2 linked regions of the Xenopus tropicalis genome follow. The protein of the gene in region 1 interacts with the protein of each later gene in a pairwise test. Links are inferred from orthologs where the notes say so. Each region holds a gene or a part of one and is shown in the gene's direction. Other genes may lie near its edges. The genes, in order: xrn1 and zfp36.

Region 1 (4,038 bases):
CTCTTTCCAGCCACACACATGTCACATTCTTATATGCTTATAATTTTTGTTGTCTTCAAAGCATAAACAGGATGATGAGTATTACAATGTGTGGCACTCACTGCAAGACTCTGGGAAATCACCTCGTGCTCAAAACTTGCATGGCAAGGTTTGTCTGGCATGTTCTCTAGCTGTATGATGGTCTTTTGCTTATTATCTTATATATATTATTTGACATTGATTTGACAGAAATAACATTAAATATTCTTGTGCAGGCTATGAACCTACCTCAGGAAAAGAAGCCAGGCCCCAATAATCATTTTTATAAGTCAGAAATGGCTGAGAGCAGCCCCAAATGTCAGTCCAAAAGACAGGATCCAATTAGGAAAAGTAAGTAAGAAAATGGTAAAGAACACATCACTAGAAATTGCTGCTTTGATTTTGCTGTGGCTTAAAGGGATACTATTCAGTCTTGGTTTTATTTTTACTATTCTATGTTACTTTATCCGTTTATATATTTTTAATCTAAATGAATAAAACAATAGGCAAAAAGTATGGTTAGCTCAATCCCTATTCATTCAAAAAAATGACAATGCCCATGTGGTTCCCATGATGACAGATGCGCCTCGCCAACAGACACTAGCTTTGCAGCCTGCATTTTTGCATAGGTTTTGGCTATTTGCAACATAGCTGCGAATTGCATGAGGCACAATTACACTGGATTTCTTGCAAAAAAACAAAACATGTTGTGTTGCCATTTTTTTTTGCATGCATGCATATGCGCTTACCTTAGCAAATTAGCTTTAGCAAAAAGTCCCTTTTGTTTTTACAAAGAATCAAGTTCAATATATATATATATATATATATATATATATATATATATATATATATATATATATATATATATATATATATATATATATATATATATATATATAATCTTTGTACATTTAATGCAGTGTTAGAGCTGTAGCATAATATTGTTATATTGACACAGCTGTGTGAAATCCCTTTCTGAATTACTTACTCCAATAATAAGTTAAATCCAGCTACATTTTTATGTTTTTTAGTGAAAGAGGATTTCAGGTTTCAAAAGCATGAGAGCCAAACCCAGGGTGCGTTAAACAAACCGGTAAGTTATTTTACAGATTTTTCTTACTCGTTGTTTTTTATTTACAAAATCCGTCAGTGGTCATAAGCACAAACCTCCACAAGAAGCATCAATTTTGAACTTACTATAAATAAGGTTAAAACGTATCATAAGTGTCCAGGACTTCTCTTAGAATATAAAAGGGATAATACAGTGTGAATAAGCATGTTGTTTTGTTACAGAATACGTACGATTCTATGAAGCAAGTGAAACTGTTGAAACGAACTGACAATCTCTTAGATATGCAGATTGAGAAAGATATTCCTAAGGCTTCAGAAGGAAAGGTAAAGAGAGAGACACCATTCCTTCCAATGTTTCCTGCATGTTTGTGCTTTGTATTGGGCATAACCTATTCTTGCATAATATGTTGTCTGTTTGTACAGGGAATGAGGAAGTTGCTTTCTACATGAGCTAGGGCCAGCCTGGGCAACCAAGTTGCCTGTTTGGCCCCAGCTTTGCCCCCCATGCAATATAATTCATCTGCATAAGGATAATAGCACATGGAGAGATTTGCAGCATTTTGTCCTCCTTCCTGAGAGCGCTAAATTGCTGGGGTGACAAAACTATACAATTTGCCATTATCCATACTCTTATCAAACAATGGAAACAATCTTTCCTAGAAGATCTACCTTCTGACAATTTCCACAAAGGATTCCAGGAGAAACCTTTGTTGACACCGAGAAAGCTAGCAAATGTAATTTTACATTTTGGACCACTGGCTAAATCTCTAATAATATGGCATACTGGCAACTTGGAAAGATAATAGTGAAAAATGTAAGGATACCAGTGTTTGATTAAACTACAATTTTTTGTTTTTGTTATTCTTAGCCGAATAGTGAGTTTGAAAATTTAATTGCATCACTGAAGATTGCAGATGAAGAGCAGACACAGCCTGCACCTCAAAGCCAAGACAAGAGCTCTAGCGCGGAACACTTGTCCCCTCAGTCATTTGCCATGGTTGGTATTTAGAACCCATCTTAATGCTATATCGACTTGGTACTGGGCCCAGATTTGAGAAAAGACCCGGGCCTAGGGTGGTGGGATTTTAGGGGCGGCATGCTGCCCAGTCGCATTTGGTTTTTTTCCAGAGTGCTAGGGGAAATAGCCCAATCTTCTACACACCAATTCCCCAGTGCTCTAGGACCAAAAGAGGAGTGCAAGCGAGAAGGAACTATGCACGACAGGGGCAGTGGTTGGGAGGAGAGAAACAACTGCGCATGCGTACGAGTGAGGGGGCGCATTACATGAATTGTAAATCAGGGGCTGCTTGGTATGTAGGTTACTGACCTCCCCCACTGGTAAAATTAATCATGGTCTGTGCATTATCCTTTCAAAGGAGAAGGAAAGGTAAAATTGAGGGTGCAAAAAATGTTAGAAACCCCCCAGTGATTGTAATTGCTCCTGTTAGGAGAAAACCCTATCTGCGCAGGGTGGCTCCGGGACCCATCTGTCTTTGTTCTTCTGATTCCCGGGGCCAGGGCATGCGCAGAAGGGTGAAAATGCTGACTTTCTTGTTTAAGTTTGGCTTTTAACTCTACTGCACATACACAAGCAGTATAAAGACAGAAGAAGGAAGAGAATCGCTGGCTCGCAGCCAACACGGGCTGGTACGTTTTCTGCTTTAACAGGGGGGGATGCCAAAATATAAAGCACCCCCAGTGATTGTACCTTTCCTTCTCCTTTAAATAGCCTACTTATTTTTTGACTGTAGCAGCGAACTGGGTGAAATACAGATAGCAAATAAAGCAGAATAATATATTTTATCTTTTGGTATTAGAAAGGAACTCAAATGTTAAAAGAGATCCTCAAGATTGACAGCTCAGACTCTACAGACCAACACAAAGAAGGAGTTAAAAAGGATACTGTCACAGCATCGTCTCAGCGCAAACAAACCAAACAGATAGGTATAAATAACATTTCTCTAAATTATAGTAGTTCTGTTGAAACTGTTATGTTGTTGGCAGTTAGAATATGTTCATCAGTTCTGATCTTGTATTGTCTCTTCTTCAGATTTTCAATACTTCAGCCCCTTATTACCCTTTATGTTTATCACTTAAAAGAATCTGAAATCAGTAAAGTGCGTGTCAGCTCATATAGTGTATATTTTAAGTATCTGTTTACAGTTACAGCCTTGTGTAAGACTACTTTGTTAACTAGTTGTCTGGACACAACATTACATGCACAGCCTACCTTGATAGTAACATCTGTACCCAAAAGGATTGTGGCCTAGTTGGCAAGTGCCTAGATTGCAGCAGAGACAGTTTTACAGGAAAACGTATATGTATTATGTACTTATTTCATAAAAGTACATACTTTGCATGCTGTTTAACTCTAAAGGCTTTAAGCCGGTAAAGGAAATTTAAACACATTGCTTCTGCATAGAGTTTTGTGTTCTTTAGAAAGAAGGGCTAGTGAATAGTGATGTCTGTATGCTGGAATGAGAATGCGCTCACAGGTAATAACCTACTTATAAACAGTATGAGACATCAGTGTATCATTTTCAGCCTTATTCCCCTATTGTTAATCAAGAGCAAGGAAACAATAACAACTCTTCTAACCAACTCTGATTTTTGTGTCCGAATGCTACTCTAGTGAATTCCCTGTGTCTTAATTTGCTGTGTTCCTACATAAATTCAGTGATATAATTGTTCTGTTTATGGACAATTAAATGCAACTCTGTCCTTACTTTTGAAGAGGAAGGATACTTTTCTGAAAACCTAACAAGCAAACTGAAATGAAATGCATCATGTTCAAATCTTGCAAAATAATCTGGCACAAACTGGACCATAGTCAATTTCTGCAGCTCAACTATTTATTAAAAAGTTCCAACACCCTTCACACAGTGCAAAATGATAGCCTTATGCATTTTGTCTCTCTGTTGGGCACTTGGTCATAGGCATGCCGATGAC
Region 2 (4,010 bases), on another chromosome or scaffold:
TGAAGTAAGTGTGACTGAGTAAATATTTGATTAGGTGAGCCAAAAGTGTGGCGTTTTTACTAAACAATAGGAGGACTATTGGGCAGTATGCTTTTTAAATTTTGACTTCCATTCTCCTTTAATGACAGCCAAGTAAGTATTCCTTTTGGGATTTTTTCATGTAGCATACACCCCTTTTAGTGTGATGTCACTTTACACTCAGCATGCCCCCTAAATGCTAACCATCTCTACACAATGTAACAACAGGAATAAATTCCTTTCTGTCTGCCAGTGGGTGCCCCTTAATGAAATTTTGCCCAGCTGGTACCTTAGAGCGGCCCTGTTCTTACTTTCTCTATCTATGCCTGGCTAGTGCTTAGCTCTTATACCCCTTGTTTTTAGGTTACCTACCTGTTTTAACCTACCCAAGCCTACTCCTCTTCCCTATAATTTTGCTCCCAGTACTTGCCCACTCCCTAACTCACAAAGTTAATAACATGCTTCTTTTTCCAGCTATCCCTTTGCTTAACCCATCTAACTCCCTATCTCACACCCTCTGCCTTCTTTTCTACTAGATTGTGAGCTCTTTGCATTGCTCTCTGGCCTCATATCATGGTGTGTCTCCCTTGTTCCATTGTTTGAAGCTGGATTGTTTCTATTTGTAGTACTGTTTGTATTGTCAGTCCAAGGCTAGGGGCTCTCTGATATGTTGTTCCTTTATATAAAGGATAATAATGTTACCCAACTCTTCGCCCCACTTCCTAGTTTGCTTACGCAGTCATACCCCTCACCCTTCAGCTTTCATCCCACTGCTCACCCCTCTCTCTATGCCACCCTCTTTCAATTTCACTATGTGCTCAGTTCATTTTATTATTATTTCATTTTTTTTCTCATTAGAGCACAACAGATACTTTACATTTCTATCTTTTTTTTTAGTGCTCTCGGTCTTATTTAGCGCTCCTCCCTTTCTTTCATCATCTTCCTGTGGTTTCTGTCTCTCTCTCTCTCCCTCCCTGCCGTCTGGGCCTCTCTGCCTGTTTTGCTCTGTTTCTGTGTCCCCTCCCTGTTGGCTTGGAAGGAACTTGTTTTCCTAGCTGGGCGAGATTACCTAACACTCCCCACCCCCTTTGGACTTCACCCTTTGCGATGACCTCATAACTTCAGAGGAGGGAGGGGATTTGAGCATATATATATAAACATGGTGATCATAGAGCAGCACTATAAGGGATTTGCTGTGTGACAGAAGCTTCCCTGCTGGATCAGTATGTCCTCTATCCTGGATATTCACACTCTCTATCAGGTATGGTTCCTCCTGAAGCTTTCTCAACTTTAGTTTTCTGCTTGATCAGCTTTCCTTGCCTCTTTCAATACAACAGCCTACTAACAGGTGGTTTTATTTGGATGGTTTTTAAAAGAGAGCAGAAGTGATGATGCTGGGGAGTTCCACAAAATAGAAGGATGAATTGAAAGGGTTAACTGAGAAGATGTAAAAAGAAGATATATTTCAGGAACCCGACCTTGTGCTGAAATAAAAGTATAATTTTAGTTCAGGAGCCAAAAAGTTGAAGCAGAGGGTACTGCAGAATTTTATGTGATTTCATTCTCTTTATAACACTGGTATATTATCTAAGACTTTATGTATTGTGTCCCAGATGTACTTACAGATATGGTTTTACCAATTGTAGACACACAGATAAGAGAAAATGTACACATTGGGTTATTAAGCATTTTGTCAGGTAGTGATAGAGGTTAGCTTGTAGGACTTATGCCCAAGAGACCTATTCTTCGGGTGCTGGTTAGAGTGTAAATAGATAAAAAAAAATAGCAGCAGAGTGGTATTTTTATTGTATGTTTCCTTTCCAGTTTGGTTTTAGGGTAGCGGCAGCAGAAGTACAGGTGCTTCCTGTAATGCCGACTGACTGGCAATAAGCAGGCAATAAGCAGGCTTACATATTCAGCTTCACTTGTTAGGAAAATTGTTTCTGGGTGCTGCTTTACATCATCACAGTTGAAACTGCCTCTCCCTGCTAAACCGGATTATAACCATTCCCCCACCTCCGATCTGACGAAATGCTCAGCTTCTGTGGCATTAAGTCTTACACCCTTTTCTTGTCTTCCTGTTACATATTTACTCCCATTGCACAATGTAATGTAGAAACAAAGCAGAAAACAGTATCACTTCAGTCTGCTATTTACCTTTTATTGGTGAATATCATAACATGTTTTGGGAACTTTTTCAAAAAAGGGACAAGTTCTCAAATCATGTTGTGATATGCACCAATAAAAGGTGAATTTCAGACTGAAGTACTGCTGTTTTCTGCTTTGTTTCTACATTACGTTGTGCAATTGGATGGTGCGTATTTTGAAACAGAGGAAAAATTGGTATTCACTCTTATTCCTACTAGTGACATATTTACTCCCATCCCTGGCTCCAAAATCTATCTGACCTTCTTTCTCATGTCTGTTTTTCCCTTCTCTCCAAGCCTCTGTTATACACTTTTTTGTGTTCTTCTCTCTGTCTACCAGTCTGCCCTTCTGTCTCTTACGGTGCATGCTATTCCATGTTTTTCTTCTTAAGTTCTGTCTGTTCTTTAGATTGTTGTTGTTCTTTCATTCCATTAGCAAATTAGTATGTATACCTCTTCCTTTAGCTTCACCAACCTGTATTTATCTCATTATATTTCTCTGGCACTTTCTCTTTACTCCATACTTCCTATGGTCCTTGCTGCTTCTTCCTGGGCATCTCTGACTATCGTCCATATGCCTCTGTCAGACCTTTTCTGTGTACCTTTCTTGTTCTTTGCCTTTCTTTGTCAAACACAGTGGAGTAACTAGAAGCAAATATTGGACCTGCTATATATACCTCTATCCTTAAAGCAATTATTATGGAATCATGCTTGCCTATTTTTTAGGAACCTCGCCACCCCACCAGTTGGGGCAAAATGTTTAAAACTGTCCTTCCTTTGACTCAGATAGTAATTGTCTAGACCCTGCCATTTGTGGGTCGAGCAATCAAACATGCAGCAAAACTCTGGGAATCGCCCCTTGTGCCATTGCCCTTAAACATCAAAGATGACATTGGTTTTCATTACCACAAACCTTTTTCAGGTCCCAGGGCCCGTAGTAATCATAGCCTCTGTCCCTCTCCTAATTATGGCCCTTGTCACACAGCAGCTGTGTGTTTATCATGGTGCCTTGTTCATCTCATACTTATTTTCCTTTAGCTGTCAGTCCTTCACTCCATTTATAAATTTATATTTTATTTCCCAATTTACTTCTGTATTTCCACCCCCATCCTTTTCTCTTCTGCTTGTCTTTTAACTTTACTTATTTTTTAAGTACTGCTGAAAACCACCCTCTCTAGTATAGATGTCACCCAGCCCTTTTACCCCCTATATTTGCTTAACCATCATTCATTGTATTGTTTATTCATACAACTTTAAGTTTCTTTGTGTGATCATTACTGCCTATATTTAACCCTGTCCCCTGTCTGTGCTCCTATGTATCAGTGTTGTATCCCATACCTTTGCTACACCCTGCATACACCTTTAAACCAAAATAGCACTTCTATATAATGTGATATATCTGTTGGTTGCTTTATTGCTTCTGTCCACATACCAGATTTACCTCATATTTAAATCTTGTGCTTTCTGACCATTTAAACAGAACATTTTGTAAAAAGGTACTTTACTGACAAAGAAGCATGCAGACCCTTTGTTGCCATAAACCTTGACCCCTAGGTTTGTACCCTCTAACTTTGACCTAATGTTATCCCTCAGAATTTGCGCAACCTGGATCTTTCAGAAGATCTTGATTCTCCAAGAGAAGGGAAATTACTTAGTACTCAACGGAGACATTCCTGTACCCCTGACCTCGATGATCTGTACAGGCCCTCAATTGATTCTTGGAACTTTGACCTTCCACGAGCCCCATTCCGAAGTGACCGTTCGATAAGCCTGACAGAAGGACCACGGTTGACAATTCCTGCTCCTCCACCTGGATTTCCACCCCTCAAGACTGCTCTTCCTGCA

What was found.
Region 2: the proteins of xrn1 (region 1) and zfp36 interact in a two-hybrid assay, tested with the Homo sapiens proteins (2 studies listed by BioGRID). The link is inferred for Xenopus tropicalis from reciprocal best matches to the Homo sapiens genes XRN1 and ZFP36.

What each region holds. Positions count from the first base shown.
Region 1 is NC_030681.2:119,575,348-119,579,385, reverse strand, and holds part of xrn1 (5'-3' exoribonuclease 1), read left to right. Parts: intron 1-61; coding exon 62-148; intron 149-254; coding exon 255-369; intron 370-1,049; coding exon 1,050-1,111; intron 1,112-1,311; coding exon 1,312-1,413; intron 1,414-1,957; coding exon 1,958-2,086; intron 2,087-2,906; coding exon 2,907-3,033; intron 3,034-4,038. UniProt on the Homo sapiens protein: Major 5'-3' exoribonuclease involved in mRNA decay. Required for the 5'-3'-processing of the G4 tetraplex-containing DNA and RNA substrates. The kinetic of hydrolysis is faster for G4 RNA tetraplex than for G4 DNA tetraplex and monomeric RNA tetraplex.
Region 2 is NC_030684.2:81,494,655-81,498,664, forward strand, and holds the start of zfp36 (tristetraprolin), read left to right. Parts: upstream 1-1,210; 5' UTR 1,211-1,243; coding exon 1,244-1,279; intron 1,280-3,758; coding exon 3,759-4,010. UniProt on the Homo sapiens protein: Zinc-finger RNA-binding protein that destabilizes several cytoplasmic AU-rich element (ARE)-containing mRNA transcripts by promoting their poly(A) tail removal or deadenylation, and hence provide a mechanism for attenuating protein synthesis.